Canis lupus familiaris: one gene and its partner. The protein of the gene in region 1 purifies or fractionates together with the protein of each later gene. This does not show direct contact. Links are inferred from orthologs where the notes say so. Each region holds a gene or a part of one and is shown in the gene's direction. Other genes may lie near its edges.

What was found.
Region 2: the proteins of MTHFD2 (region 1) and HRAS purify together in Homo sapiens (co-immunoprecipitation; 4 studies listed by BioGRID and IntAct, with this or other methods). This does not show direct contact. The link is inferred for Canis lupus familiaris from reciprocal best matches to the Homo sapiens genes MTHFD2 and HRAS.

Annotation. Positions count from the first base shown.
Region 1 is NC_049238.1:49,392,484-49,404,174, reverse strand, and holds the start of MTHFD2 (bifunctional methylenetetrahydrofolate dehydrogenase/cyclohydrolase, mitochondrial), read left to right. Parts: upstream 1-6,093; 5' UTR 6,094-6,145; coding exon 6,146-6,246; intron 6,247-11,691. UniProt on the Homo sapiens protein: Although its dehydrogenase activity is NAD-specific, it can also utilize NADP at a reduced efficiency.
Region 2 is NC_049239.1:25,989,070-26,000,706, reverse strand, and holds HRAS (GTPase HRas), read left to right. Parts: upstream 1-4,768; 5' UTR 4,769-4,823; coding exon 4,824-4,934; intron 4,935-5,112; coding exon 5,113-5,291; intron 5,292-5,414; coding exon 5,415-5,574; intron 5,575-5,661; exon of another isoform or gene 5,662-5,669; coding exon of another isoform or gene 5,670-5,732; exon of another isoform or gene 5,733-6,209; coding exon 6,210-6,329; 3' UTR 6,330-6,642; downstream 6,643-11,637. Other genes in the region: uncharacterized protein LOC119864195, read right to left, coding at 9,742-9,863, 10,502-10,619. UniProt on the Homo sapiens protein: Involved in the activation of Ras protein signal transduction. Ras proteins bind GDP/GTP and possess intrinsic GTPase activity.

The DNA of each region.
Region 1 (11,691 bases):
TGAGATCACGAGCTGAGTGGAAATCAAGAGTCCAACAATTAACTGACTGAGCCATCCAGGCAGCCGTGTGTGTGTGTGTGTGTGTGTGTGTGTGTGCTTTAAACAAAGAATATGAATTGCTTTTACAGCAAGAGAAAAGGCATAGCTACCTGTCTCTGGCTGGGTGTTCCAGGGACTGGACTGTCCCTACTTTACTGCTGTCTACTTCAGTGGTATTAAAATAGAAAACACATTGGCCAAGAATCAGTAAGTCCTGAGATGAGAGAAATTCAGGGTATATGTAATGGATAGAAATGGGCTAAACTGGCCTAGTGTAGAAGCAGGGTCATGGTCCACTTGTCAATATTAATTTCGTTAGGGAGGGCTCCTAGGGAATGATAGACAATCAAGGGAGTTGGGAGAACCAGTTTTATCAGTTGGGACGGAAATATTCCCAATATTTTTACAATTGCAATGACCAGCCTGGTGCATGTATACTAATTATGGCTCCAGATTATAAGGAGTGAAACTTCAGTGTCTGACATAATTCTTACCTAAAGAGTGCTCTGGAATGATAAAGGTTTCTTGATTGCTTCAGATCAGTTAGTTAAAGTGGAAGTTTGACCAATGGTGGAATGAACTGGAGTTTGTGAGCTCTGTGGTTCCTTCTAGACATGGAACACTATGGAAGTTGAGCTGCCGGCTTTCATGGGTTTCACCACTATGACCGCCTCTGCCCAACTGTTCCATCTTACCCATTTCTACTCTTGAAGGATTTTGCCTGTGTGCAGTCTGGTTTCCTCCTGAAGTATCTGTGAAACACTCAGGCCCGCATGAAGTGGAGGGCCAGAGGCAGGTCAGGCCCGGAGGGTGTAGAGCCTGCCTGGGCTTGCTGGATGAGTGACTTCATGGCTGTGTGGTCAAGTCCTCTGAGTCTCAGTTCTCTTATTTCAAATGGGAATCATAAGTAAGGGTGTAGGGATTAAAGAAGATGGTGTTGAATCTCATGCCAGGCACAGAATAAGTGCTTGAGAAGTGGTAGCTAACATTAGAGCAGGAGCTCTGGAGGCAGCCTGTTCAATCCCTGCCCCTTTCCTTACTAGCTCTGTGACCTTGGATGTATTTCTTAAACCTCCTGTGTCTCATTTCCCCCATCTGTAAGATGGCGATAGTAATAGCACTTACTTCATGGGATAAGTGTGCGAATTGCACGGGATAATGTACACAAAGTGCTTAAAACAGTGCCTGACACATTGCCAGTATTCAGTAAAGAGAGCTATTTTTAGAATGATTATTAATAGATGTTTGGTCATTCCTATGCTTTGTGCTTGCATGAATGAGATGAGTCATAAGATAGGAATTATAAATGAGCCCAGATTGTATTGGGGGAGATAGGTGCACAGATAATATCAAGATGTCATTCCAAGGGCTGAAATAGGATTGGAGTAGTTCTGAATGCTGTGATAGTCCAGAGGAGAGGGCAATTAATTCTGCCAATCCATGTTGTGTTGGCGCAAAAATGTGATTTTACCTGTGTGTGGTCCTGAGTCTTCCTTATGTGTCAGTGATACATTTGGGGCCATGTAAAGTGAAGACCCACAGGCCCAGCTTTTAAGTCAGGGAGTCTGAGGGTACAGCCTTGAGGGATGAACAGTAGCAGTTCTTGGGAGCAGAGAGAAGAGGCTGGTCTAACACTGGGTAGAAGTACAGAAAGTACTCAGTGGAGGGCAGGGCAAAGGAAGAGTAGAGTAGAAAAGCTAGTTGAGCCCAACTGGTAGAAAGCCCTGAGCACCTGCACCCCACAGAATTGGACTAAAGATCAGAGCATAAAGTATTTTTGTCAAATGAATGGTATTTCAATATCATTGGAATGTCCTTTCAATATCATTTACTTCTTGGGAGCATAGAAGTAAATCCTTGTGTTAAGTGTATTAAAAATATAATAATGCTCTCTAGCTTCACTCTTAAGAGTTCAAACTTTGGGAAATTCCAAAATCTCCAAAACTTTCCAAGTGTTGAGAGAGGGTTAGGTATCCAGACACGCTTGGTTCCTTTCCCTCCTCACAGCCTCTGCTGAAAGGTCGAAGCAACTAGAAGGCTCTCCTCATCATAGCTGTCTGGGCACAGGTTCTACAAGTCATCATGCTCAGTCTTAAAATCTGTAGGACATGCTCTTGAGTTAGAGACAGATGGGGCTAGGCAGAGAAAGATAAGGGAAAGGCCCAAAGTTGGGATCCCATAAATCTCTGGGCTCCCATAAATCCCAAGGACACCAAAAGGCCCAGAGTCAGGCTCTTACCCATCCCAATGAAACAGAGATAAGGCAGCAAAAACAGAGAAAAAAAAATTAAAAATAAATCTGGCTCCCTAGCTCCAAAATTTTAGGGAGTATCTCCCCTTGATGGTTCCCAAGTAATCATAGAAACTCACCAGACCACAAAGAAGTAAGTCATTAAAGGTGTTATCAAATAGTCCTTCCTCAAACCAAGACTGCACAAGAATCTCAAGGCCACAAGCTTTGTAATCAGTTCTCAATCCAAGACTGCCACTAAACGCCCTCAGTGGCAACCCTGTCAGGACTCCTCTCACTTCTGAGAGCTTTCTCTCTATCTTTGCCTAATAAACTTCTTTTTTTTTTTTTTTAAAGATTTTATTTTTTTTATGATAGTCACAGAGAGAGAGAGAGAGAGGCAGAGACACAGGCAGAGGGAGAAGCAGGCTCCATGCACCGGAAGCCCGATGTGGGATTTGATCCCGGGTCTCCAGGATCGCGCCCTGGGCCAAAGGCAGGTGCCAAACCGCTGCGCCACCCAGGGATCCCTTTGCCTAATAAACTTCTATCGCTTTACTCACTCTCTGTTGTCCATGAGATTCATTCTTCGACTCTGTGAAACAAGAATCAAGCTCTCCCGTATCTCTCTGACCTACACAGTCCTTCACATCTGCCCTCTTGAGGGTTCTCAGTACCACATTTTTTTTCTTACCTTCTTTTCTTGTTCACTGTATGTCTACCTTATCCCTAAGTGCCATGAGGGTAGAAATCTTACTGGTCTTTTTCTTTTTTCACTTGTTCTTTTCTTTTCTTTAATATTTATTTATTTATTATTTATTTAGGAGAGAAAGAGAGAGAGAGTAACCAAGTGGTAAGTGGTGGGGAGGGGAAGAGGGAGAAAGAATCCTGAAGTGGACTCCCCACTGAGCATGGAGCCAGAAGTGTGCTTGATCCCAGGACCCCCGACATCATGACCTGAGCTGAAACCAAGAATTGGTAGCTTCACCAACTAAGCCACCCAGGTGCCTCCACTGGTCTTTTTCTTTTTTTTAATTTTGAAAAAATTTCAGACACATAGAAAGGTTGCAGGAAAAGTTCAGAGAATGCTTGTATGCTCTTCACCTACTTCCCGGTTGTTAATATGTTACATTTGCCATATGCTTTCTCGGTTTCTCTCTTTATATATCTACATCATTATGGACTGCACTGTGCCTTCCCCCAAATTCATTTGTTGAATCCCTAATTCCCAGTACCTTAGAATGTGACTGTATTTGGAAATAGAGCCTTCAAAAACATAATGAAGTTAAAATGAGATGGTTAGAGTAGCTCCAAATCCAATCTGATTGGTGTCCTTATAAGAAGAGGTGATTAAGACATCCGGAGAGAGATAGCTGAAGTGTACTGCCATAAAGAGAAGGCCATGTGAGGACACTGAGAAGGCAGCCATATGCAAGGCAAGGAGAGAGGCCTCAAGGGAAAAAACAAACAAACAAACCCTGCCAACACCTTGATCATGTATTTCCAGCCTCCAGAACTGGGACAAAATAATTTTCTGTTGTTTAGGACACCTGGGCGGCTCAGCGGTTAAGCATCTGCCTTTGGCTCAGGGCGTGATCCTGGAGACCTGGGATCGAGTCCCACGTGGGGCTCCCTGCATGGAGCCTGCTTCTCCCTCTGCCTATGTCTCTGCCTTTCTCTCTGTGTCTCTCATGAATAATTTTTTAAAAAAATTTCTGTTGTTTAAGCTACCCAGTCTGTGATATTCTGTAGTGACACCCTTAAAAAACTAATATTTATATGGGTGACCCTTGAACCACCTAAATTTGAATTGCTTGAGTTACCATGTAGAATTTTTTCAATAAATACAGGACTATAATGTATTTTTCTCTTCCTCGTGGTTTTCTTGGTAATGTTTTCTTTTCTCTAGCTTACTTTATTGTAAAAATATATATGGTATAATACATATAAAATATGTTAATTGACTGTTCATGTTATTTGGAAGGCCTTTGGTCAACAGTAGGATACTAGTAGGATATATATAGAATATATATACACATTTCCTGAACCATTTGAAGACATGATGTCCCTTTATTTCTAAAGGCAAGTACTTTCTTTTATGTAATCACAATATAATTAGCTAAAGCAGGAAATTAACACTGATATGCTATTAGCTGATCTACAGATTTATTAATATTTGCTAATTGCCCTGTAATATCCCTTAAGCAAAGAGAAAGGAAAAAGAAAAATGAAATAAAGAAAAGAAAAATAATTTTTTGGTCCCAAATCACACATTTGTCATGTCTAGAGTCATCTAAAACGGTACATCATTCTTTGTTTTTCATGACTTTGACATTTTTTCAAAGAGTACAGGCCGCTTTTCTTGTAGTATATCTTTCAGTTTGGATTTGTTGGATATTTCCTCGAGATTAGATTAAGATCTAATAATATATTCCAAAATTTCAGGAATATGGCTTTTTCCTGGACTGTTTTAATATTCCAGGTCTGTGTTCTCCCCTCTCGATGTGTAAATGAAAAATTTATAACATTTTTTAGGGAACTTAATGGTTTAGAAAAACCACTTCGTTCAATTTTCAGACTTGTTAAGAGTTATGAATTGATGTGTCCTCCTTAATGCACCATATTGTGTGTTTGTCTCCTTAATGATGGTGTAATTTGCACCTCTTGTTTAAGGTCATGACTTTCAGGGCCGTGTGAGTGGCTCAGCGGTTAAGCATCTGTCTGCCTTTGGCCCAGGGCATGATCCTGGAGTCCCAAGATCCAGTCCTGCACTGGAGCCTGCTTCACCCTCTGCCAGAGTCTCTGCCTCTCTCTCTCCCTGATGAGTGAATAAATAAAATCTTAAAAAAAAAAAAAAAAAAGGTTACGACTTTCAGGTTTCCCTGTTGTAAGTTTATTATTTCCCCCCTTACTATTAATAAGTATTTTGTGGGAGAGATTCTTCAACACTTTATTTTTACTTTATTGTAAAAATATATATGATATAATACATATAAAATATGTTAATTGACTGTTCATGTTATTTGGAAGGCCTTCTGCAAAAAGGATAGCCAGATAAAATACAGGAAGCCCAGTTTACTTTTAATTGCAGATGACCATCGAATACCATCCTTTGTCTTTTCAAAAAAATTTACTTGAGAGAGAGAGTGAGCGCGCGAGACAGCCCGAGCAGGGGCAGAGGGAGAGGGAGAAGCAGGCTCCTCGCTGGGCAGGGAGCCCGCAGTGGGGCTCAATCCAGATCCCTCCATCCCAGGACCAGGAGATCGCGACTTGAGCCACCCGGGTGCCCTAATACAGCCAATGCTACCCTAATACAAGTATGACCCTTCCTCCTAAATTATTTATCTAAAATTCAAATTTAATGGAGTGTCTTGCATTTTTGCTTGCAAGATCTGGCATAACCCAGCAAGTTCATCACCTTGTTCCTCATCCAGTTTGATCCAGTTGTTTTGACATCCATCGATGATGGACGTCGCTATGATTTCACTATGATTTTGCCAAACAGTTTCTTTGTAACTGCATCACTCTTCTATCCGCCTGTGTTTCTATCCCCTATTTTACGGCGCCTGGCACGCGGCAGGCGCTCCGACACTCGTTCCAGCGATGAATGAACCAACTCTCGCCGGCGCTGGCCGGGCTTGGGGACGCGGGCCGTGTCGGGCAGGGGCTTGCCTTCCTCAGCCAACCACTGCGGGCTCCCGAAGCTTCCGAGCCTCCCCGGCCCCGCGGCTGGCTCCTCTTGCTCCAATCACAAGCCGGGCCTTGCTGGGAGGGGCCAATGGGTGCCGGCGGGAGGCGGGGCCTGCCACGCGGCGGCGGTATAACCGCGCGGCCCGCGCGCGCGCTTCTCTCCCGGGGCGGACGTCGGCGCGGGTGATGGCTGCTGTTTCCATCGCGTCCACGTTGGCCATCCGGCTCCTCCGGCCGGCGCGGAGCTGCCGCCTCCGCCATCGCCCCTTCCACCTCTCGGTAGTTCGGTAAGAGGGTGCGGGAGCTGGGTCGGCGCCGAAAGCCGAGGGGAGCCGCGGGTGGGGGGCCGCCCCGGCTCCCGGGGGCGCCGAGGGACGTTCGGCTGAGCATCTCCGTCCCGGGCGGCGACGGGGCGACGTGGCAGCCGAGCGCGGCCGCAGCCTGCGACCCGGGCGCTCGCTCCGTCGGGCGGGCGGATGCCCGGAGCCATCCTTTCCGAGGGAAGGGGTCTCCGCCACCCCGGGGCGTCGCCCTCTCCCGGGGCCAGTCCGTGGGCGGGACGGGGCCCCCGGAGCGAGCCAAGGCGCGGGCGGGCGCGGTAAGGCCCAGACTAACGCGGCGGCGTGCGGAGGTGACCGGCCAGAACGCGCCGGCCGCCCGTGGCCGTGTCGCTGGCGGCTCGGGCGAGCGCCGCGAAGGGCTCTCGGAGCAGCCCCGAGTGCGCGCCGGGATCCTAGCGGCGGGGGGAGTCGGTGCAGTCTGATGAAATCCGCGAGCCGGCTTGCTCGCCCGCTACCCGCGCTGCCCTCCTCCTTCGGGAGGTGGACGTAGCTCCCGCTGCTCTTCAGGCGGCCCCTTTCCCTCCCGAGAGAATAAATGTGCTGTGGTCTCCAGGGCTTTGATGCGGTCCACCCGGAGCTAGTCCCCGCCGGGCTGAGTAAATTGAAGGGAAAAATACCCGAGAGGAGGAGAGAGCGAGCTCTGATTGCCTTTTCTCAGCGAGGTCATAGGTTGTTGGTTTTTTTTTTTTTTTTTTTTCCCCTTTCCCATTTTTCCAGACCTCGAACTCCCATTCTTAAACCTAGGTTGAAGAGCCTTCTGGGGGCCTGTGATTTCTCTCCCTAAATCTGCGCACTCTCTCGCGCATCTTTAGAGCCTTGCGTTGCCAGTGGGCTGAGCCTTGTAACAGCAGCCCCTTCTTCCGTCCAGGCACTGCGCTAGGCTGTGTGAATTCAGGGATCATCGTAAGTCTTTTCTCCTAGTGGAACTCCCTTTAGAACACGTGTGTACTTTCCATTCAGTGTAAAAAAAAAAAAAAATGTTACAAGAAGCATTGCCACTGTGCTGTTGTAGCACAGCATGCGGATTAAGGTGTCCTTGAAAGAAGACCCGGGCTTTTGTTCTGACCCTGACCTGTCTTCCTGGCCCCATCCCCCGTTACTGTCTGTTCTCCTCCCCGAAGCTCCCTTCCTGAGTTCTGGCCTCGTGTGCCTGTGGCTTTCATGATTGAAGAGATTTCTAAAGATCCTCTAATTCATCACCTAGAAAACTGGACCAGTTTGTTCACTCTTCAGTAACAAATGCCCTCCTTTCACTTGTGTTTCTGAATGAACTAGTAGGCTTCCTCATGTCTGAAGGCAATATTATGGTATTTATGGTTTCCTTGTATTGCTTTGATCACTGATGGCTAGGAAATGTAAAACAATAATATCTTTTATGAGTCTGCATGCATTCCTTTTGGGGGTGGTGGTGGAGGGTTTCAGGAACATAGACTCCTGGTTGGAGAGCTAGTGCTATAGTAGACTGGGGTGTAGGGGAAAATGGAACTTTGGAGACAGAGGGTTGTTTGTGTTTGAATCTTACTTTCTACAGTCCTCACTTTCCCCTTTTGTATGCCAGAGTTAGTATAATAGCCTAAGGTAAGTGAGACTAATGTGTGTAAAGTTCTTAGCAAAATACCTAGTGTTTAATGGATATTAGTTGCATCCCCCTTTGTATCTTTCTTTACTCATTACTGGTTCCATTAATTAGTAGATAACTGAACTCTTTCTAGAATAACCTGTTCATGAATTGTAAATTGCACCTGGTAATTAATTTTTTAAAAATATTTTATTTATTTCAGAGCCAGAGACAGAGAGAGGCAGAGAGAGAAAGAGCACAAACAGGGGGAGGGGCAGAGGGAGAGGAAGAAGCAGACACCCCTCTGAGTAGGGAGCCTGATGCAGGATTCATTCCCAAGACCCTGAGATCATGACCTGAACCAAAAGCAGACACTTAACTGACTGAGCCACCCAGGCTCAGTTAATTATCACTCCCGATAATTAATTTTTTATGGAAGATTACAGTGCTCTGAAAAGCTATTGAATTAAAAAAGTGAAGATGCTACTGAGTTGGATTTAATTTTATTTGAACAGTCCTTGCAACTTCTTTCTAGTCTATTCATTCATTTTATTTTATTCTCACTCATAATTTTTTTTAAAATATTTTATTTATCTATTCATGAGAGACACAGACAGAGAGAGAGAGGCAGAGACACAGGCAGAGGGAGAAGCAGGCTCCACGCATGGAGCCCGATGTGGGACTTGATCCCGGGACTCCAGGATCACACCCTGGACCAAAGGCAGGCGCCAAACCGCTGAGCCACCCAGGGATCCCCTCTCACTCATAATTTTAATCAATTATTAAACATATCCGTGAAACGCGTTTAATTCCTACATAAGTGTTAGCTAGTATAGTTAATACATTTTGGATTTCCTGTGGGACTGTGGTGAGCCTCTTCTTCTCTTTCTTTTGGGGTAGCAGTTGCTTTATCTGCCCTTTGGCAAAAGAGATGATGGGAAATTAGGTAATGACTCACTGGCAGGACTGTGTTTCACATTTTGCAGAGTTGTATATGTAGAGGAGGGCTAAAACACCTTATATTAGAGAAGATACTCATTGTGTTGTGGCTTTGTTTTTGGTTCTTGTTGCTCTCTAACAAGCTTTTTAAAAGCTAATTGGCATAACATCCAGAACCTGCCTTTGGCACTTGGAACACTGGGTTCTCCCAGAACCCTGTGTTCTTAATTTTAGTATATCATTCTTAGCTCAAATGTGCTGCTACCATTTTGTCTAAGTGTATTGCTTTCAGATTTTTAAAAAAATATTTTAATTATTTATTTGAGAGAAAGGGAGTGCTGGGGTGGGGAGGGTGGGAGCAGAGGGAGAGGGAACCAGCTTGTAGCCATATGGGGGGGTGAGTAGTGTCTATCCCACAACCCTGAGATCATGACTTGAGCCCAAGGCAGACACTTAACTAACTGAACCACTCAGGCGCCCCTTAAAAGGAACTTTTTAAGAAAATGCAATTAAAGACACACATATCCTTATGAGTGTGTAAGTAAATATATATATGCTATATTAAGGATATGCATGTGTGTAAATCTAACCAATGAAAGAGAGTAAGAAATTAATGTTTCTTGAATATATGTGCCTTGTACTTTATGTTATTTCATTCAGTATAAATCATTGTCGTAAGCTCTTTTATTTTTTTTTTTTATATTTTTAAAAGATTTTATTTATTCTTGAGAGACACAGAGAGAGAGAGAGAGAGAGAGAAGGAGAGACACAGGCAGAGGGAGAAGCAGGCTCCACGCAGGGAGCCCGATGTGGGACTCGATCCCAGGACTCCAGGATCACACCTGGGCCGAAGGCAGGCGCTAAACCGCTGAGCCACCCCGGGATCCCCTGTCGTAAGCTCTTTTAAAATAATCTTTCATTCTACAGCATTCCAGGGTTGGGAATGCATTTCTGGACTGGAGCTGTTCCCCAGGAATGTTGCTAGAGGTGTTTGTATCCAAAGCCCTTTGAATGAAGCCACTTCAACTCTAAATCTAAAATAGATTTGCGAATGTTAACATGTTTTCAGTTCCTTATATACCATGTGTATATGTGAAATGCTATTATCTATTTTGTGCTATGCTTGTGTTATTACATAAAATTTGGGTAATAGTACTTGGTTTCCTATAAAATGTTATCTTTTTACTACCCCCAAGATATAAATACAAATTAATATAAGGTTTAGATATGAAATTACCCCTTTATATCTAAGACATTTCAGTCTGGTTTAAAATAGGTATTTAATCTTAATGGAAAGAAGCATGGAAGGTTTAAAGACTGTTGAAGCTTTAAAATTCCATTTTAAATAACAGTGGTCTTAAAAATGAATCATACGTGGGGTGCCTGGCTGGCTCAATGGGTGGAGTGTGCTACTCTTGATCTCAAAGTTGTCAGCTTGAGCTCCATGCTTGGTGTAAAGATTACTTAAAAATAAAATCTTAAAAAAAAAAAAAGAATTCTATCTGACCATACAAGATAACCAGTACCTTGGTGTTATCCCTGAGAATTGGATATGTGCTATAAGGGGAAATTTTCTTAATATTTCAGACAATCATGTGTCTCATTGGTCTTGAGGTTGAAGCATCCTTCATTGATACTGAGACTGAAAACTAAAGGGAAAGACTTGTTTCCACTGAGAGCTTTATGCTTAAGGAGCAGGTGCTTAGCGCACATGAAGTATTGGGAACTTGTAAGGACATGTATGGAAATAAGAAAGGCAGGAATCTTCCACATTAGAACCCAGGAAGAGCTGCATAAACAGTTCCTGTTGGGAAGCAGTGGCCTCTCAGAGGTCTGAACATGGTTTTGGGAACTGGAGGTTCTTTCAGACCCTGACTTTTCTCGTTGCCCCTCCAATAGCAGTTTCCACCTCTCTTGCTCCATCTACTATGAGCGTGATCGCTGTTCTGTTTCTACTTTTTTCTTTTCTTTTTTTTTAAAGATTTATTTATTTATTTTATGATAGACATAGGGAGAGAGAGAGAGGCAGAGACACAGGAGGAGGGAGAAGCAGGCTCCATGCCGGGAGCCTGATGAGGGTCTCAATCCCGGGACTCCAGGATCGTGCCCTGGGCTAAAGGCAGGCGCCAAACCGCTGAGCCACCCAGGGATCCCCTGTTTCTACTTTTTTTCTACGGCTTTCTTCAGCTTCTCCTACCAACAAGTCCTCCGGTTTGAGTGTGTGGATGTGAAGAGCTTTCGGGGAGAAGCTCTTATCAGTCTAGTTACCTACCACTGCTGCTGTTGCCGTGAGCTTTTGCACCAGCTGGACCAGTGGCCTGCCTAGAAATTGTTGTCCCTAGTGTCAGATACTCCTGGTCTGTGGCTACCAGGGCCCCAGGGTAGAGCACACTGCCACCCATGGGATAGAACCTCCTCTAGTCCCCTGCCAGCCCTTATTCTCACTGGGAAAGTCTTCTCTAGGAGGGCTGTGGGGAGCAATGGTAATTTTGAGGTTTGGCCTGTCCAGAATATTGTTTATTGGTTTAATTGCATGACATAATTTATATATGTGAAAGCATCACAGAAACTCAAAGCCAATTGACTTAACTAGGAAATGGTTTGAAACATATGACTGGATGCTAATAACATGTACAAAACACAGACTACAAAATGGTATATAAGCATATAGGAAACACCATTAACCTCTTAGTGGTGACGGGTCAAATAAAACAGTGCAAATTAAAACAGTGGGAAACTTGGCGGAGGGGGGGGCGGCGTCTATCATTTTGTCAGGGGGCAGGGGGCAGGATGGTATAGTGGTGAGAGCCTGGACTCTGGATTCAGAGAGAGCTGGATATGAGACCCAGCTTTGCCAAGTACTAGCCTTCACTCACGTAAACTCTTCAAGCTTC
Region 2 (11,637 bases), on another chromosome or scaffold:
CTCCACCCACTGAGCCCCCTCACCTGGAGGCACTGCCTCTTCCCACCATGGGTCAAACATCCAGGCACGGAGGCAGCATGTGTCTCCAGGTGGCACCTGCAGGAGGGAGTTGGCGTGGCCTCCTGGCCAGGTCGCTGTGCCCAGGGGACTTGGGACAGGCAGGGAGGAGGTCACAGGGCAGAAGTGGGCAGGTGTGGAGGTGCTTGGGGCTGTCAGTGTAGGCACCAGCCCTCAGGTCCTTTGGATCATCCTGATGGGGCACCTGGACGGGTTGATGAGGAAGACAGTCGGGTGGTGACTGACCATCCTCTCTGCAAAAGGGGTCCCAGGTCTGCCTCTCTGGACTCTCATGGGCTGGCCGCCTAGCACCCTGTCCTTCCCAAGCCCCCTCACCCTCAGGCTCCACGGGAGCCCGTGTCCCTGGACACCTGCGCCAGGCTCACCTGGTACTGCTCCTTAAAGATGCAGATGCCTGGCCTGACCCCAGATCCCAGAATCATGTCCAGGGGTAGAGCCGGAAGTCCGCCTGGAATGTTCTGGGAACGCCCCCCAGTGTGGGTTGAGGCCTCACTGACTCCTGCCCTGTATCCCCTCCTGCCCTTCCTGGATTGACTTTCCGCCTAAGTCTGACTCCTTCTGGGGTCCTCTGTGTTTTACGACGCGTTCCGCTGAGCGAGCCCCAGGCTGCGGGGCCCGGGCAGGCAGGATGCTCACTTCCTGCGCCCGCAACGCACGGGAGAGAGGCTCCCCCCGATTCTCCGAAGGGATTGTGTGGCGCGTGCCCACGCCAGTGCTGCTCTCATCTCTCGGGCCCTGCAGACACTCAAGCCGCACCCTCTCCATCGTGCCTGGGCTGGGGGGTGGCCAGCTGGGCCTTGACAGAGGCGCTGGAGGGGTGCTGCGCGGGCTCTGTGTGCCTCAGTGGCCTCATCTGGAAGGTGACCCATACACCGGGGATCCAAGGAGGTGAAGGCCATGCAGGTGAGCCCCACCATACAGACTCATCGGGTCTCCAGCCAGGATTTCTTTCCAGAAGCTTCCTCTGCCGTCTGCCTTTCTCCAGTGGGCGAAAAGCCCCAAGCCTGGCTGGGGACCTCAGCACGTGCCTCCTGGGACTACGCTGCCCGCTCCCATCCCAGGCCTGCCAGCCTTGGGGTGTGGGGAGTGCAGGGGCTGGTCTGGCTGCAGCCCCAGGAGGCCCGTGGGCAGCATGAAGGGCCAAGCCCGCCGCCCTTTCCTTCTGTGCCTCACAGCAGCCGACCAGCGGTCCTACCCTGGACTGGGCCCAGCGGACGGTCCCATCCGGCCCCAAAAGTCTCGGGTCCAAGGAGCAGGGCCTGGGTCGCTGGCTGCAGCTTGCACGTGCACTGTCCCCTCACGTGCATGCACTGGCTGGACCTGTCCATGCTGCGCGGGGCCCTGCGGCCACCCTGCCTGCCACTCGGGTGGCCTCTCTGCCTCCGTGGCCCAGGCTAATGCCAGCCCTTGGCCTGGCTCAGCAGCAATCTGGGTCCACTCCACGCCTCCCCCCTTCGCTGCAGAGGGAGGGGCGCTGCGGGCAGGGCCTAGTCTCTCCTAGGTCCCCACTAAGGGAGTCTGGGTCGCCACCTCCTCCTCTCCTGCAGGGGCAGAGCCTGGGGTCCCTCCTACCCTGGGGCCTGGGAACTCTTCGGAGCCCGGCTACCGGTCGTGGGCTGAGCCCCTGGAGACCAGATTGGACATCTGGGGGTACCGCTGAGCCCCCACTGGCTTTGCTGCTTCATCCTGGAGCAGCCATCGGCCTCAGTTTCCCCCCAGGCACGGGGGAGGTGCAGCGAGGCCTGAGGCCCCAGGCCCAAAGGTGTGCTGGGCTCTCACCAAAGGGGTCGGTCTCGGTGCCACGGGCCGGGCGCCCTCCGCCGCGGGGCGCGCCTTCCGACTCGGGGTCGTTCTTCCGGTGGCGGGGTTGCGGCCCTGGGCGCCATGGCAACGGGGCCGGGGCATTATTTGAATGCTCAAATATTCATGAGCCCGCGGGACTCTCCGAGGCTCCGCGGTCGAGCCACGCCCCTTAGCAACGGCTGCTAGGGCAGGCCGGGGGCGGGGCGACCGCGGGCGCATTCGGGGCCCGGAGGGTAGGGCCCCACGTCGTGGGCTCCCGTGGGCTGGGAGGGAGCCGGGGCGGAGGTGAGGCCCCACCGGGCGGGGTACCAGCGCGGACCGGCCGGGTGTCAGCGCCCGCGAAGGCGGTTATCAGGCGGAGCCCAGCGCCCACCTTTCCCGGCCCTGGCCCTGCGGGAGGGACCCCCTCCTCTAAGGGTGGCGATGCCAAAACAAAAGGAAAGCGCCCCCGAAGACGAGGGAAATGCAGACCTGGACACCGGGAGGGGTTTGGGGTGTCCGCGCTCTCGGGGGACGCCGCCACTCGCTTTCACTGCCGCTCCTTGACTCCGCGTCTGTGCGCGTCAGCGGGCGCCGGGCTCTGTCCTAGCCACCGCGCAGTGCACGGGCCGGCCAACCGGCCACGGCCTCGGCACGTGCTGTAGGCGATGTGTGCGGGCGGGGCAGCCCCCCCCCCCCCGAGGGGCCCGCCAAGGTCACGGCCTGCAGTGGGAGGGGCTCCACGAGAACAGCGCGCGCCGGCACCGGAGGGGGCAGGACGGGAGGGCGGGCAGGGCCGCCAGAGCGGGGCCAGCCTGGGCCTCCTGCGGGCTGCACCGTTCTTCCTTTTTGTAAACAAGCACGGTGTGTTGATGCACTACTTTGAAATTTAAAATAAAATGTCGAAACCACGTCTTTTTTGAAAGTCTGGAAAAGATGCGGGGTGTGCGTGTTCGCGCTCCGGATGGGGGAGCCGTCGGCACGCAGCCCTCGGGCAGCTTTCGGGCTGGTTTGCAGAGGGCCCATCGTTAACTGGGCCCCGCGCAAGCGTCTGCAGGGCCGGAGCCTCCGGGCTAGGGGGCTGGGCGGGCCGGCCTGCAGGGGGAGGCTGAGGAGAGGGGCGAGGCTGCGGCCCAGCGAGACCCCTGGGGCGGGATCAAACGATGCTCCGCGCCGCGCTGCCCCTTGTGGCCTGGGCGCCCCGGGTGCCGCGCGCACGACGAAGCCGAGGTGCCAGGCGCCCGTTCCGGAGCCACCTGATGGGAACGGGGGTGTAGGGCACCGAGCCCCGGCCATGAGGCCCCAGAGCTCGGGGCGCGGCCCGGCCTGCCCCGGCGCCCGCCTCCCGTCCCGGCCGTCCGCCCGGCGCGCCGACCCTGACCCTCCTCGAGCCTCGTCTCCCGGCCTGACCCCTCCGCTGGGCCTCGCGGCGCAGGGAGCCCCCCACCGCGGGACACGGGCTCCCGCCGGTCTGCAGCGCCCCCGCCCCGGTGCACCGCCGCCCGCGGTCCTGTCGGGCAGCTCCCCGCGGAGGCCGCCGCCCCGGCCCGCGCCTCTCGCGCTCCCGCCGAGCGCCCGCGGGCGCAGCCCAGCCCCCCCAGGCCGCGGCCCACGAGGGCCTCCGGGGCCGGGCACCGCCCTCCGCGCCGCTTCCCGGAAGCCCCGCCCGGCCGCGGCCCGTGACGGGCGGGCGGGCCGGCCAACCGGCGCGGGGCGGGGCGGGCCGGGGCGGGGCGGGGGCGTGGCCCGACGGCCGCGGCCAATGGCGAGCCGCGCCTGCGTGACGGACGGGCGCGGGGCGGGGCGTGCGCGCCCTCCCCCCCGAGTGTCCGCCCGCCCGCGCCCGCAGCCCGCAGCCCGAGCCGCACCCTCCGCGGACGGAGCCCATGCGCTGGGCGAGCCGCGCGCCCCGGCCCCGGCCCCCTTCCCCGCCCCCGCCCCGGCCCCGGCCCCGGCCCCGGGGGCAGTCGCGCCAGTGAGCGGTGAGTGCGGCGGGGGCGGCGGGCGGCGGGGCGGGGCGGGGGCGGCCGGGGCTGCGGCGCCGGGCGGTGGAGGCGGCGGCGGCGGCGGGGCGCGCGGGGGCGCAGGTGAGCCGCGGGCGGGCGCTGCGGCGGGTGCGGGGTGCGAGGTGCGGGGTGCGGGGGCGCCCCGGGCGGCGGCGTCCGCGCCCTCTCCTCCGCGGGCCGCGTGCGGGGCCCCCAGGTCGCCAGGCGCGCCCCCGAGGCCCGGGCGGCGGGCGGCCTCCGCGATGCACAGCGGGCGAGCCGGGCGTTCGCACCGGAGCCCCGGGCACCGCGTCCCGAAACCTCCCAGACCGGGAGCCGGGCCGGAGGCCGCGGCCCAGCGCCGTCCCCGCGCCTACCCCGCCGGCCTGCTCCCGGGGCCGCCATCCCCGCAGCCCGCCGCTGCTCTCCTGCGAAGCTCGAGCGGCCGCGGGCCTGGGGCTCCCCCCGGGACAGGAGGGCCCGGGCCTCGCCCCCGGAGCAGCAGCTGGCGGCCGCGGGCGCTCCGCAGATGCTAGTCCGGTGCAGCGAGGCGCGGCGGGGCTCTGGCCTGCCCGGGCACGCTGCTGCACTCCGCTGTGGCAGGACCTGTTTCTGCGGGGAGGGGCGGTAATCTCAGCCTGCAGGGCCTCCGGGTCCCTCCAGTGCACGCTTTCTGCCTACCCAGCAACTTCTAATTTGGGTGCGTGGTTGGGAGATGCTCTCAGCTGTCAGCTCTCCCTGCTCTCTCGCAGCCATGAGCGCCGGCGAGGTGCCTACCCCCCCCCCCCCGCCGCCCCCCCCGCTGGAGGTGCCACAGGTGGGCGGCTGCGCCCGGTTCCCTGGTTGTGTGGGGCCTGGGGACCGGGTCGGGGCCGGGGTGGTCTGCCCCACGGGGCTGGCTCAGGGCTGAGAGCAGCTTCCTCAGCAGGTGGGACAGGAGACCTCGTTGGCGTCCTGTGCTGCGTCCCGTGAGGAGCCATGACGGAGTATAAGCTGGTGGTGGTGGGCGCTGGAGGCGTGGGCAAGAGCGCCCTGACCATCCAGCTCATCCAGAACCACTTCGTGGATGAGTACGACCCCACCATCGAGGTGAGCTCGCCCAGCCCTGAGCCTGCTGTGGGCATGTCTGCTGTGGGCTCCGCAGGAGGGCGGCCCCTGCTCGTGGGACCTGGGGGTGGCACCTGGGGACCTAGGAGGGGCTGGTGGCTGGGTGGCCCCGTCCTCGGAGGTGTGGGGCTGGGCGTTCTGAAGCACTGGCCTGCCGCAGGACTCCTATCGGAAGCAAGTGGTCATCGACGGGGAGACGTGCCTGCTGGACATCCTGGACACAGCGGGCCAGGAGGAGTACAGCGCCATGCGGGACCAGTACATGCGCACGGGGGAGGGCTTTCTCTGTGTATTTGCCATCAACAACACCAAGTCCTTTGAGGACATCCACCAGTACAGGTGAGCCTCCGGCCGGCCCTCAGAGCCACCTGTTCCTCTGCCTCTCATCGCGTTTCTCTGTCAGGGTCTCGGATGCAGCCGTGCCTGCAGCCTACCGACTGGCTCCCACCTTCCTTCTTGTAGGGAGCAGATCAAGCGAGTGAAGGACTCTGACGACGTGCCCATGGTGCTGGTGGGGAACAAGTGTGACCTGGCTGCTCGCACCGTGGAGTCCCGGCAGGCGCAGGACCTCGCCCGCAGCTACGGCATCCCCTACATCGAGACGTCAGCCAAGACGCGCCAGGTGAGCCGGCTCCCCACCCCGCAGCTAGCTGGGGACCCGCCCCGCCCCGCCCCTGCCAGGGAGCAGTGCTTATTGCCCCCTCTCCCCCGACACAGGGCAGCCGGTCTGGCTCTGGCTCCAGCTCCGGGACCCTCTGGGACCCTCCGGGACCCCCGTGACCCAGCGGCCCCTAGCGCTGTAAGTGTCCCCGGACGGCAGGGCAGCGAGGGAGGCCGGGGCCCAGGGTTTGGGCTGACACAGCTCCAGGGAGAGGCAGAGGTCCCCAGAGAGAGCTGCCCTGAGCCAGGCCGAGTGGTGACCCTGGGGCCCTGGCCCCTGCCCGCAGAAAGCCCCATGGGCCCGTGTAGGCCCTGCCCTCTTTAATGGGCTGTGGGGGACCAGGGTGGTAGGTCAGACAGGAGCGGGACCCTGGATGTTAGAGCTGGGAGCCAGACCTCGGGGCTGCCCTGTGGGGGAGCTCCTGAGGGCCAAGCCGCCTGATGGGGGGAGCCCTGGGGCTGCCTGTGTGGGGGCGGGGTGGGGAGAGGCCAGGGGGAGCTGGGATGATGCATGAGCTTGACGCTGGGGTCCCTCGGTCCCCTGCGCTGCCAGGCCCCCGGGCCGAGCCGCACGCTCAGCCAGCCCCGTCTTCCCAGGGCGTGGAGGATGCCTTCTACACGCTGGTGCGAGAGATTCGACAGCACAAGGTGCGCAAGCTGAGCCCGCCCGACGAGGGAGGCCCAGGCTGCATGAGCTGCAAGTGCCTGCTGTCCTGACGTCCCCTCCAGGGCCACGTTGGCAGCCCCGCTGGTCCTCTGTGCCCCAGGCGCACAGGCTCGGGGCGAGGAGGTGCCGGAAGCTGGGAGGAGGCGCGGAAGGAGGAAGGAGGAGGGCGAGGAAGGAAGGAAGCGCCCCCGGGGCCCGGCCAGCCCAGGCCCCCTGGACAGGGGGAGCACGGACCTCCCAGGGCGCTTTGCACAGACTGTCGTGAACTGAGGCCACGGGCCCCCCCGGCTGTCACTCTCCCCCAGTCCCGTCCTTGCCCGCGGGGCAAAGGCTGAGTCGCAGTAAATTATTTGATGGTCTTGACCCTGGCGTATGGCCGCACCTGCAAGGCACGTGGGGACGTCAGCTGTGTGTGCCTGGCGGCGCCCCTGCAGGGGCTGGTCGGGGCCGGGAGGTCCCCCCTCCTCCTCTCTGGGGGTGTCTCCACACCCCGTGCACAGAGCTCCGGGAGACGCAGAAACGAGCCGGCCGTGCATTTTCACACAACACCTTATTGAACTTGCAACAGCAAACGGGCTCAGAGCCGAGGGTGTGCGCCTTCCCCTGGGAGACCTTCCTGTCCTTAGAGGAAAGCGGGAATCCCACGGGGGTACGGGTGCTGGAGTCGCCCACTTTGGAGCCTGTGCGGACTCCGGGTGGGGGTGTGTGTCCTGAGGTTGGGGTGTTGAGAGGCGGTTCTGGGGACAGCAGAGCTGGCCTGGACCTGCGGCCCATGGGCTCCTGCTCTAGGTCCCCGCAGGGCAGCTGGACCCCGGCCTCGGGCCCACTGGGGCCGGGTGACTGACTGCTGGAGCCCCAGCACGTGGAGGAGCCTGCCTCCTGGTGTGGGTGCGGGTGGGGCCCACGGGCCTGCCCCTGCTGCCCTGCCCTGGGGTGTCCCGGGATCCCCAGGGCTGCCCTAGGTCAGTGACCTGGATCTGTGGGGCACGCCCAGGGCCCAGGAGGCCACATCCGGCTCTGAGAGGGCTCGCTCAGCCCGGGGCCAGAACGCAGGCCTGGCCAGGGCCCCGGAGCACTGGATCCCATTAGTGCTGGGCCTGGGGGGCAGTTCTCGAGTCGCCCCTGCCCCCACAGAGCCTGGGGCCAGGCCAGCCCAGGTCCCTCTGGGTCAGGGGTTGGTGTCCTGTGCGGGGGGTGCCGCCCTCCGGGAGGGACAGCAAGATGAGGCAGGGCACGGTGACGGCGGGCCAGAGCCTCTGGGCCCCCGCACTCACCACCACGCTCTGCCCGCGAGCATTGAGCTGCCCTGTGGACGCAGAGGGCAGAGGGTCCCGGGCCTGTGCGGGGCCTCGGGGCAGCGGGCTCAGCGCCGCCCTGGCTCTGCCCTGGCTGTGCCCGTCACTGCCCAGCGAGAGGCATGAGCTGCAGTGGCCGCGGGGCAGGAAGGGTGTCCTGGGCCCGACAGCGTCGTCCCTAGGGGGCTGGGGGGACCCCGTGATGGGAGTCCCGGGGGTGCTCCAGGGCCTGGTCCGTCGCGGGGCCTCTGGGGTGGCCCAGGCAGGTGCCGAAGGGAAGGGGACCCCGTTTTTTGTCTTCAAGCCCACCGTGTCCGGGGGCCACCTGCCCGCACCGTCTTGTTACACTGGGAGGGTGGGGAGGGAGTTCCATCGCTGGGGGGGAAGTTGGACGATGGCCTGGCTGGGAGGGGGTCCGGGCGGCTCAGGCTGGGTGGCTGGGCCCGGGGAGGCCTGCTCCTCCACCCTGGGCGGTGGCTCAGAGGCCGGAGAAGGGAGGAGAGGCCTGGGCGCCGGGGACACTCGCTTCAGGCCGAGGGGCCTCGTGGGGAACTCCAGGTCCCGCTGGAAAGAGGCTGACGGGGTCAGCGTCTCCAGCAGGCTATGTGTTCCCCGCTGGGGGCCCCGGGGGTCCTCAGCTCCCTTGTGGCCCCCCCGCCTGACCCTGTGCTCAGCCCCCCACACTGGTGCCCGGGCCCTGCAGTGGGTGCCTGCCCGCCCAGCCCTAGCCTGGAGTCCCCAAGGCTAGAGCAGAAGAGGAGAGCCCCAGAGATGAGGACGGGGGCTCTGTCCCCTTTGGGTGGCCCCAGCAGGCCGAGTCGGGAGGGGCCGGGGCCCTGAGCCCACCTGGGTGGGGGCAGGTCGCACCGCATCCTCCGGAGCTGGGTCATGGAGGCCCGAAGGTGTCTGAGCACCGCCTCGTCCTCCAGGGCCCAGGGCTGGGCCGGAGAGTCCTGGAGGAACTCCCGGAGCCCTTCCAGGGGCAGCTTCAGGAGGCTCTCTGGGCAGTGGGTGAGAGTCAGACCCAGAAGGCCCTGCCCTGGGGCCCCTAGTGCCCCCAGTCCAGCGGCTGGGGTCCCGCTGTGTCCAGGAGCGCCGTGGGCAGTGCGCTGGCCGGGGTGGCCCCTGCCCGCTGCTCCTCTCAGGGAGCCCCACTGCACCCGCCTGCCCCGCCGTCCCCCCCGCCCCAGGTCTGGGTGCTGCTCAGAGCACAGGGTCACCGCCCCTGCCCCCTCCCCACCTCTGGGCTCCCAGGGGCTCACTTACTTGTGTGCACCTTGAGGATGGTGTAGGCCAGGGCCGTGAGCACCCGCTCCCCATCCAGTATGTAAACATCCCACAGCTTCAGGGTGAGTGAGAAGGGGGTCTAGGGGACAGCGGGGTGGGAGGAGCGGCCTGAGCAGGGCCCCTGGGGGGCTTGGCTGGGGCTAAGCTAGGCCTGCCATTTGCCCCCCCGGCTGCCTCCAACGAGGCACCACAGCACCCCCCCCCCCCCCAGTGCGTGCCCTCCTCCCAGGGAGATCAGGACTCCCGGCCGCTCCGGGTTCCGACCCCGGCCAGCACCTCCCGCACCCCTGGGGGCACAGACTCTGCCTGCACTTGACGACACCACGCCTCGAGAGGACCCCAGGCTGGCCGCCCGATGGGCCGAGGGCCCGTCTACACCCCGGGCTGACTTGGCCTCCCCCAGGGGAGCTGAGGCAGAGACGGCCCGCCCCCCGGAACCTCGTCCAGGGACCCTCTGGGCTTCTCCAGGACGGGCTGGGCTGCGAGCCTCAGCCTCAGGGCCCCGGGGTCCGGCCTGGCTCGTCTGGAGGGTGGGGCTGAGCTGGCCCTCCCCGGGGGCAGGGGGCAGGTCCGGGAGCGGGGTTCCTGGGGGGCCTCACTCGGCTGAGGAAGCACTGCAGGAACCACTTTGGGGTATAGATGCCGGTGGACATCTGCTCCTCGTCCTGGCGGGAGGGCAGGAGGTGCTCAGGCCCCACACCGCAGCCCCTGGAGCCCGTTGTTGCGCTCCCCACAGCCCTGCCCAGCCCCGAGGGTGCCCCTGGGCCCCAGGGGAGGAACGTGACCCCAACTCTGGGCAGCTCGGAGGGCCGTGCCCCCCACCCCCTGCCCCGGACCCCGGGGACGGAACCTCAGGAGCTCCCATGTGCCATGTGCTTCCTCAGGTCGGGGAGAGCTCTTTGGAGGACGCGCTGGTGATGAGCCTGGAACCTGAGGAGCTTCTGGAAGCCTGGGACGAAGAAGCCTGAGAAGGCCCCAGGCCCCCACGATCAGGGCCTCCTCCTGCACCAGGTGGGGTGAGGGGTGTCGGGGCAGGGGCCTACCCCCACGCCCTGACCCCCATGTGCCCACCGCCCTCGGAGCCCTGACTGGACCGGCTCTTCCCAGAGGGCAGGGCTGCCTCTCAAGCCGGGGGTGTGGGGCCGGGGACCCTCGTCCTCACAGAGACCCCGCGGGGCGTGGGCTGGGGGCTGAGGACCAGGCCCGGCTGACCCAGCACCCTCTCTCCTGCAGGGGCCGCCGCGGGGACAGGCGGGTCCCCAGCCCCGAGGGGCAGCGGGTGTAGGCCATGGGGAGGGTGATGGGCGTGCATGGCCCTCTGTGGGGCTTGGGAGTGAGGCTGGGGGCCCCCGGGAGGGGGAGATGCTGCCCCCTGGGCCCCGTGTGGCTGTGGGCTGGCAGGGGGGCCTGGGGGGCAGGCAGCCGGGCGGGAGGCTGGGGGAGCAGCGGGACTGCGAGCCTGGCCTGCAGACGGTGGGGTGGGTGGCCGTGGCTCCGGGACCCGGAGGCCACCGGGGAGGCGGGGCTCTTGCCCGTGGAGGGGGCGGGCTGGGGGGGTCCCCGCCTGCCCCCAGGTGCAGCAGCCTGCAGGGAGGCCCTCCTAAGCTCCTCTCCCGCCCGGCGGCCCGGTGGGCCCCTACCGTGCATGGCATGCCTGTCGTCTGTCATCAGCTGGGCCAGCGCCCAGAAGGCGTTCTCGGGCAGGAACATGAGGACGATGGCCGCGATCTCGCTCATGCCCTGGCAGTAGCCCACCTCCTGCAAGAGCCAGAGCCCCACGGAGGGCGTGCACCCCGAGGCCTTTTCTGATCCCTCCCCGCGGGTGTCAGGCTCCCCTGGCTCCCTCACAGCCCGGGCTCCCGGAGGGGGCTCCCAGAGGGCAGGGGGGTAAGTGAGGGCCACCAGGACCAGCTACCGAGCCCTGTGGCCACCGTGCCAGGGCCCCCGTCCTCAGACCAGCAGGAGGGGCCTCCGTGAGCTATGCCAGGCTGCAGGGGACCCGCCAGGTCTGGAGACCCACCGGAGGGCAGGTCGGGGGCCTGACTGTGGCCCCTGGGAGGTCCCACGAGGGGAGCAGGGCCAGGACACCCCGCGGGGCCGGGGAGCGTGTGAGCTGGGGTCCTTGGGGACCCTTCTGGAATGCGCCGTGGAAGGGGGCGGCCTCTTGGACGCCTCGGCCTCGTGCCCTTCAGGGGAGTGGGAGCCTTCCCCGCCCGGGTTCTCATCAGTAGTGCCGTCTGTCAGAGTCCAGACCCGAGCTCTAGGACGGCCGCGGTGCACTTGGGGGCCCCTGGCAGCCCCGGCCCTCGGGCACGCAGGCCCTACCTCCCCTGGGAGGCCTGCACCCCGCCCCCTGCCCGTCCCGGAGGAGAGAGACCCTCCCCGGCATCTGGGGGCCGTGGAGCTGGGCCCCTGACTGTGAGTCCCGCTGGTCACCAGCACTCAGGACAAGGCCGCCGGCGGGGCAGGAGGCGGGGGCAGGGACACTCACGGTGTCATACACCGAGTAGGCCGCCAGCACATGGAACAGGGCTCGCTGCCTAGGAGGGGGGACAGCGGGGGGCTCTGCTCAGTCAGCCCCCGCCCAGCGAGGCCGCCAAGGTGCAGACACCCGCCCCGCAGGCCCCATGGCCCGCAGGGCCCCTCCGCGGGGGCCGATCTCTGGGGTCAGGTCTGCGCACGGGGACAGGCGGCGACCTCACACGTGCAGCGTGCCAGGGGTTAAGTGCACCGTGGGGTGTCCAATGCCTCCGAGTGGCTCCCTCCGTGGTGTGTG